2 linked regions of the Cricetulus griseus genome follow. The protein of the gene in region 1 interacts with the protein of each later gene in a pairwise test. Links are inferred from orthologs where the notes say so. Each region holds a gene or a part of one and is shown on either strand. Other genes may lie near its edges. The genes, in order: Gem and Pdlim7.

What was found.
Region 2: the proteins of Gem (region 1) and Pdlim7 interact in binary tests that used the Homo sapiens proteins (3 or more experiments, as listed by UniProt). The two-hybrid records come from large-scale screens. The link is inferred for Cricetulus griseus from reciprocal best matches to the Homo sapiens genes GEM and PDLIM7.

The regions. Positions count from the first base shown.
Region 1 is NC_048595.1:125,845,751-125,849,555, forward strand, and holds part of Gem (GTP-binding protein GEM), read left to right. Parts: intron 1-429; coding exon 430-506; intron 507-1,276; coding exon 1,277-1,481; intron 1,482-2,890; coding exon 2,891-3,168; 3' UTR 3,169-3,805. UniProt on the Homo sapiens protein: Could be a regulatory protein, possibly participating in receptor-mediated signal transduction at the plasma membrane. Has guanine nucleotide-binding activity but undetectable intrinsic GTPase activity.
Region 2 is NC_048596.1:274,497,663-274,502,185, forward strand, and holds the start of Pdlim7 (PDZ and LIM domain protein 7), read right to left. Parts: upstream 3,103-4,523; 5' UTR 2,979-3,102; intron 2,035-2,978; 5' UTR 2,024-2,034; coding exon 1,928-2,023; intron 1-1,927. UniProt on the Homo sapiens protein: May function as a scaffold on which the coordinated assembly of proteins can occur. May play a role as an adapter that, via its PDZ domain, localizes LIM-binding proteins to actin filaments of both skeletal muscle and nonmuscle tissues.

The sequences.
Region 1 (3,805 bases):
CTGTCTCTCTGGAGGAACATGTTCATGTGAGAGCACATATGTGTAGATTTGTGTACATGTGCACATGGATACCAGAAGTCAGACTCGGGTTGTTCTTCCCGAGACAGCCATCTTGTTTTGTGAGACAGAGCCTCTGGGCTTGGAGCTAGCTGAGTTGGCTAGGCTGGCTGGCCAGTGGACCCTAAGGATATGCCTGTTTCTGCCTTCCTAAAGCAAGGGTTACAAGTGCTCACCGCCATGCTTGGCTTTGCACATGGGTTCTGAGGACTGAACTCAGTCCTTGCGCTTGCTCAGTCAGCATGTTACTTACTGAGAGATGCCTCCTCAGCCCCCACAGAACATATTTCTAGTGAGACTTTGACAGGAGCCTCTTATGCCCAAGTCTTTCTTAATCACCTGACTCTGATAGCAATGTTCTTTCTTTTCTAGAAGACACATATGAGCGCACCCTGGTCGTTGATGGTGAGAGTGCAACGATTATCCTCCTGGACATGTGGGAAAATAAGGTATGCAGGGCCTGTGGCTGCCAGTGATTTCTTTTAGGCCTTGCCTTTCAACAGGCTGCTTGGGGCCAGAGTGACCTTGTCCTACATAGTGGATGTTCCAGATGCAGTGGGCTCATTTTCTTGATTAAAAACATTTACTTCTGAAGAACGAGACTGCTGAGGAACAGGTCGTCCACAGATGAGCCCTAAAGAACAAACAAATTGCAGTGGCTTGCCCTGAGTTCTATTAAAAACCACAAGAAACGTATTTGTTTTAGGGAAAGTTCAAACAAGCATGGTCACTTATTTTCAATGACACAAAACCACTTTGTGTGAAGCTGACCTTCTCAACACTGCATTCCAGCATGGCTTTTGATGGTTCTAGGTCTCCCAGTACATATGCAAGATTGTTGGTTGATTGAGAACCCTCCTATTCTCCCAAAGGATTTGTAGTTCTGCCCTTTGGGGAAAACAAAAGGAAGCTTTTAGGGAGTCAGAAAAGTCCATTTTGGGCAGGCTAGATTGTAATCGGAAATACTGTTTGTCACAGTAGCTATGCACCATATCAGCTCAAGCTGTACTAGTAATTGGAAAATAAGTTTCTTGGGCATAAAAACAATGCAGACTGCTTTTTTTTGTCCCTAGACATCTTGGAAGACAATGCATATTGAGGTGTTGGAAGCAGTTTTCTTCCTTTCTCTTACTTGGGATAGACATGCAGTTTCTTTGCAAAATGACACCTCAATTTTCAGGCTTGCCTAAGCTCACGGGAGGTCTTCGTATTTCATTAGGGGGAGAATGAATGGCTCCAGGACCATTGCATGCAGGTTGGGGATGCCTACCTCATCGTCTACTCCATCACAGACCGAGCGAGCTTTGAGAAGGCATCTGAGCTAAGGATCCAGCTCCGCAGGGCCCGACAGACAGAAGACATTCCCATCATTTTGGTTGGCAACAAAAGTGACTTAGTGAGGTGCCGAGAAGTGTCTGTGTCAGGTGAGAGGGTGTGCAATTCTGGGCACCGCCCTTGTACTGCATACACTGGACCACAGTGGGGTTCTCTCTCCCTTTTCCAGGGCCTCAGTGGGATGCTCCATGAAGGCTTATGTCTAAGACTCCAATGGTTCCCATCAGTTTTGTTAGTCATCTCTTGTTCTCTTCATCCTCTGGTCTACCTAAAGGGTTCCAGGCTTCCCACTGCCCTTTGGGTGTTCTCCTGGAGTTACTTTAGGGAAGAGAGCATCCTCAGGAATTTACTGGCAGTCTTGACCTTTGCTTCTTAACCTTTTATTCTTCAAGCAGATTCTACATTTAGGGGAGGAAAAGTGGTGTATTAATGCAAGGATGGGGAGCTCTTGGTTAGGAGACAAAAGAAACAGTTATACTTGGGTTGTTAGTACTCCATCTAATACTCTCTAACCCCAGCCCCTCCTTCCTAAACTTCTGGGAGAGCATGATACTGTTGGGACCACACATGAGTCTCCATCCTTATTTCAAGGGTCATTCCTATTTGATGAGTGTGCCTCTGTATTCTTTTTAAGGCCCTCGAGATTATATTGGTTTAATGTAGATTGCGTAGAACCATAAAAATGAAATATGGCACTTTCAGGCCCTGCTCAGTCAAAATGATTTTTCTAGCTACTTGGACTGTCTTACTAGGACACCACAGTATTCCGTGTTTAGATCTTTTCAAACTCAAACTTGGACACATGGCTACTAAACATAATATCTGAAATCAAGAGTTTTAGAAAAGCTTGAATAGTTTGACGTTTTATATATTTATAAAATCATCATATTCCTCAAAAGATCTCATCTCATCATACTTTTCTTTTTAAAAGACAGGAAAGCTAAATAGTAAACTTGGAATTAGAGTTTTTAGTGAGGGACACTGAGTCAGGAGAAAGTGTATAAGCTTGAGCACGGAACAGGGCTGGTTGTCCTGTCACTGTCAGCTGTGTGAGTTCCTTCCCATTTTTAAACACTTCACTCAGTTTCTTCGTCTCTCCGATGATAATAATGGTATATTTTCCAAGTTTGTTCTGAGCAGTGAAAAGGCTTTGGAAAGAACTTGGCCTGCTTTTGTGAATGTAGCAAACCTTTAGGAAGTGGAGGCCAGGGCTCTTGCTGTTGTAATTAGTATCAGTGTATTTGATGAAATTTTACTTTTCCATAGTGAATTTTTGGTGAGCTGGATCTAACCGGTTTCCTGGAATCCTCTTATTGTTTATTTCTACTCTTACCCGGGGGAAGATGTGTGCCCTGGTGCCCCCCTCCTCTTACAATGCAGTCTACTGCTCTATGCTATCTCTATTGCAGTTTTGGAGAAGTGTCCTTTAGCTTGACCACACTGTGCAGGATCATACTCTGTGACCCCTCTGACTTTCTTTCCTCTTCCTCCTTTCCAGAAGGGAGAGCTTGTGCTGTGGTGTTCGACTGCAAATTCATTGAGACGTCTGCAGCCGTGCAGCACAATGTGAAGGAACTGTTTGAGGGCATCGTGAGGCAGGTCCGCCTGCGCCGGGACAGCAAGGAGAAGAACGAGAGGAGGCTGGCCTACCAGAAGAGGAGGGAGAGCATCCCCAGGAAAGCCAGGCGCTTCTGGGGCAAGATTGTGGCCAAGAACAACAAGAACATGGCCTTCAAGCTCAAGTCAAAATCCTGCCATGACCTCTCTGTTCTCTAGGCACCCAGTGTCACCCAGATGTCCCCTTGATGGACATCGTAGAAGGCCCTTGGGACCAGTGATCTATATTAGATTGAATACATAAGCATTGTTAGTGGTGGCTTCCCCTGTTGCAAATGGGAACCAACAGGTTAGCCTCATGGGCAACCAAGTGCACGGGCAAGGAATCTTTGTCAAGAGTCAGTATTTATTCATAGGAACATCTTGATTTGCTACATGGGCACCTGAGACTCATTTAAGGGCATATTTGGGGTTCACATGAGTTTTGTTTTTGCCTTCTTTGGGCAGCAGAATATTGAAGCTTATGAAGAATACCTAGAACAGGAGTGTGTCTAATCATTGAAGTGTTGCCCAGTTTTGTTCTATGTGAATTTGACGCCCTTGAGTCATAAAGAAATCTAAGAAAATGGTGAGAGTTTATTGGAAGGAGGAGGGCATTCTGAATCCTCATCTCCCTGGAATGACAGGTGTAGAACCAGTCTCATCACAGTTGTGACTATGAGAAGTGTTGGACTTTGCTGGAAACTAAGCTCACTAACAGTTCTTTTCTTTAAAGCCCACAGAGATTTGTAGACTTAGGAGCTGATGTATGTAGCACTTGTAGTTCAAAAGATTGTTTACCCTTGTGTCTTACAAA
Region 2 (4,523 bases), on another chromosome or scaffold:
TCATGGTGAGTCAGTCAGGAGATGGAAACCTGGTTTAGCCACTCCTTCCTCTACAGGCAGCCTGCTTCCTGAGAGGTGTGGGGTGAGACCCAGGGGTGTGTGTGTGGGGGGGGGGGGGTCCTAGGAGGAGGAGCAGCTGGCTCCCAGAAAGGGAGTGGAGGAGTGAGTGAGGAACTACTTTTATGGGGTGAGGAGGGCAGGAAGGATGTGGGGGTAAGACAGTGGTCAGAGTGGGGACAGCAGCATGGGGCAGGGCCCTTTGGGAAAGGTGGCTAGTGAGATTAAGGAGGTAAAAAGCCAGGGGGCTGGACAGCTTTATGGATGTGGGTGAGTCAGCCTGGGAGCTCTACTGAGCTGCCCAACCCCCAAATCCCAGACATTACCTCATTTTCCAGGCCTGGGCCCACAGCCAGGCCTCGCCCCTCCTTCCTCCCTCTACTCTGGGGTCAGGGGAGGGATAGCAGGCTGGCCCAATTTAGGAAAGACCACCCCACCCATTCCAGGGCAGGGCTCAGCTGGTAGCCCCACCCACACGTTAAGGCTGCTGACAAAGGAACCCAGGGACCAGAGTGCCTCCAACAGGCAACATCTAAGAGGCCATCGTTACCCAGGAAGAAAGCAAGCCCTACACCACACTGGCCAGCACTCCCGGGAGGAGGGAGATGTAGGATGTGCATGGGGGGAGGGCCCACTGCCTTAGTCACCCTGCTGGTTGGGGCGGATTCCAAGAGGGCCCCAGGGAAGGGTCCTGGGAAGAACGCAGCCTGTTTGTCTGTATGCCTGCCCTAGCCTCGATGTCCGATATCTGATGTCCAGCTCCCACTGAGAGATGCAGCCTTGACACCCCTCTCAGGCTGAGCAGTGTCGGGAAGTTCTCAGGCCCCTTCGGGCTGGGCTTGCCTTGGGCTTCCTGCCAACAGCTGCATGCCTACTCTGTGGCTGGGTGGGCCTCTCTAGGCAGGAGGCTATCAGGGCAGGAAGTCCCTGCCCCTTTTTTGACCCCCTAGGCCAGTCAGAGCTACCAAGCTGGCGCCCTGGCCTCACCCACTCTGGCACAAAGTTTGCTTTGAGTCCCACTGACACAAAATGACTGATGATCAGGTGAAGGGCCCACCAATGGCGCTAAGGGGCCTAGACCTAGGCCAACCCTTTTGGGTTCTGTTGACTGGCCACTGTTGGCCATCCCAGCTGGGGCTACATTCTTGGGCTTATAAGGCAATCCCCCTGCCACAGGGAGGAGTCAGCTCCCAGCCCCACCCCCCATCAGGGCAGACTGAAGAATGGGAACAAGAATCCTGGAGGCTAGCCTCACTACACCTCTGCTTAGGGTCAAAGGTCACTACAGCCTGACCAGAACCAGCAGGCTGAGGACCTGAGTCTCAGCCTGCTCAGTCCTCACTCAGCTGGGAAGAGACCCCTTAAACTTACAGGAAGGACAAGCCATTTTGTGCCTCAGTTCATATTCTTGCTCTGCCAGGGACTTGCTGGTTGAGCTCCTCCATCCCTCCAAGTCCTGTCACTTGGCAAAGCAGGATGACAACTGCTATGCCTTGGATAGCAGTGACATTAAAGTTAGGTCCTGCCTGGCACCTGGTGCCACACACTGTTCTTCATGCTAAAGCACTTCTTGGAGACATCAACCTCCCATATTGTAAAATAGGCTTCTCCTTGGCACTCACAGATGGCCAAGGGGGCTTGGAATAGCATCAAGTACCATGTCAAAGCAGGGCAGCTGGGGGGGGGGGGCTCCCCATTCCACTATCCACCTAGCCAGGAGTCCTTGAAGTAAGGGCCCATTTGGACCTGGATGCTGGTGTCCTGTTGGCCCCTGAGCAGCTTGCTCGCTCTTGCTGTTTCTTCCCACCATTTGCTGGAAACATGGGCACCCAAGAACCCTTGGGGAGTGCATTCCCCAGTCTAGGCTTACCCGAGAGATGGAGAGGGGCACATTGAAGTCCTTGCCCCCTTGCAGCCGGAAGCCCCAAGGTGCTGGCCCCTCCAGCACTACCTTGAAGGAATCCATGGTGCCTGCTCCTGTGAGGACAGAAGAGAAAGTGAGTGGCCGCACCCAGCACTGCAGATGGCCCAGCAGGTCCAGATCTGGTCACTAGCGTTAGCCAGGTACCAGAAGGCACAGAGAGACGCTCAGCACACACAGGCACTGGGAGGCAGGTATCTTGTTGGGTTTGGCGGGGCTCCCGGCTGGCAGACCTCACAGGCAACAGACAAGTCAGTTCCCCACCCTGGCCCCTGCCACTGGGAGGGTGAGCAAAGTTCTCATCAAGTCTAACTTCTTTTCTCTCCCGGGGGTGGGCTGTGGGGCTAATTGGCACTGCTTCGCCCAAGCTAACCTGGAATCTCAGGAGGGCGGCAGGGTGAGTCAGGGGCCAGCTCCCCCTCCTTCCCCGGGTCCCAGCAGGCCGCTGGAGCCTGCTCGGACTATATAAGGCGTGTAAGCTGACACTGTGGAGAGCCCGTGGAGGGAGCACTTTAGGGGCTCGGGACGTGAGGGGGAGGGGCGAGGAAGGAGGCCGCTGCAGCGGGTCCTAGCCATTTTGGGACAGGTCGAGGCTGCTGGAAGCCAGGGTGGGACCCCGGGCACTGCAAGGGGGGTAAGAAACGGGGCGCTGTCCCCATGGAGAGTGGCGGGGGTCATGTCCCTAACGCGCGGCCAGGGAGGGGACTCTTTCTGGAAGCCAGTAAAAGTGGTGGCACACACGCACGAAGCTCCCTTCCCAACGTGACTCTGTTTCCCCTCGTCTCCAGCCCCAGCCCCGCGCTTGGTCGCGTCCCCACCGCACACGGTGGCGCAGGCGCCAATCAGCCGCACCGCCGCAGGAAGGCGGGGGCGGAGGCTGCGGCCGAAGCCAACCGAGGGGATCCGGCGCAGGCCACGGCCGCCACGCCCCCCGCAGCACCTCAGCGGGCCACGGGACCCCACGGGGTGCAGCCCAGGAACCCCCCGCGGCCGCCAGTACCTGGGTGCCCGGCTGGGCCGCGGCTCGGCGGCCTCCGGGAGCCTTGCTGGGATCCGCGCTGCGCTCTGACCCCGCCTCCGCGGACGCCGCGCCTTTTGAGCCCGCGGAAGGGGGCGGAGCCCTAGGCCACGCCCTCCCCAGGCCACGCGAGTGGACATCCCGGGGTCGGTGCGAGGCCCCACCCCGTCCCCAAGCCCTGAGTCTCCAGGACAGGGACGGAGGGTCGCGCATTTACCCGGGCAATGACCCTCCCGAGCCTGGTCGCCGCCAGCCTGCGCCCCGCTCCGGGCTCTCACCCAAGCCCCTTGCGCCTCCCACTGGCGAGGGGGAAGAGAAAGCAGCCTTTTAAAACACCCCGGCTGTAGAGGTCTTCTCTCACCTCATTCTCCCCTTGTAGGGGAGAATAGCCTCATAATACCCTTCTGTCAGGGATACGGTACAGGTCAAAGCGGCCGTGGTCCGCGCCACCGGAGATTTCAGAATTTCTGAATTCCAGGGAATGGAGAAGCAGCGAGACAGGGTAGTTGCAAGTTAGCTTTCCCGGGGCTGGGGATGTAGCTCAGTGGTAGAGACCCCTGGTTCAATCCCCCAAACCAAAGCCAACCAACCAACCAAAGCTAGGCTTGCAGGATAATCTGGAAACCAATACATAAGGAAATAAATAATAGATAAACAAATAAATAGTAAGAGCCAACGGAGTTGGAGGAGGCCCTTAGCCCCACATGGGGCCTGACAGTAAGAGTCCATCCAGACAGAGCCAGCAGTCCACAGCTCTGCGACATCCACCAAGCACCACTATTGGGACGGACTGTATCCCCTGAACACCCCTCCCGAGCACACAGTCCGTCCTGTGGGGGTGGGGTGGAAGGAGCTGTCACGGCAGAGGGAAGGAAAGCCGATTCTCCTGAGTGTTAGAGTGAATGGTGGGGGGCACGACCCCCCCCCACGCCCTCCTACCATCCTTACATACATCCCCCTTCCCCAACATTGTCCCGACGGCTCAAACTCCTGCAGGAGATGTCATCTTTGAAGAAATGCTCCTTGGTACTCTGCTGTTCTGTCTGCGTTGCTTTTTCCTCTTGCTGTCCCTTGTCTCTATGGTACTCGAGGTCTCCACGACCTCCATCAAGTCAGCTGCAGCCTTCAGGTCTCATCCCGTCCTGCTGAGGCATGCTGGTCAAGGCCAGGCCGACCACTCCCTTTCTCCATTGCTTTCTTTTCTTTTAAGATTCAATGCCCTCTTCTGGCCTCTTCAGGCACGAGGCACACATGTAGTGCACATATTAACATGCCGGCAAAACACTCATACACATGAAATAAAAGTAAAAAGAAATAAGGGTCCCCGTGTAAAACACCCATACACATGAAATAAAAGTAAAAAGAAATAAGGGTCCCCGTGTAAAACACCCATACACATGAAATAAAAGTAAAAAGAAATAAAGCTCGCAGTGTAAAACACCCATACACATGAAATAAAAGTAAAAAGAAATAAGGCCTCCCCGTGTGGACGGGCTGGCCCTTTGGCCCTTGAGTGTGCATGGATTC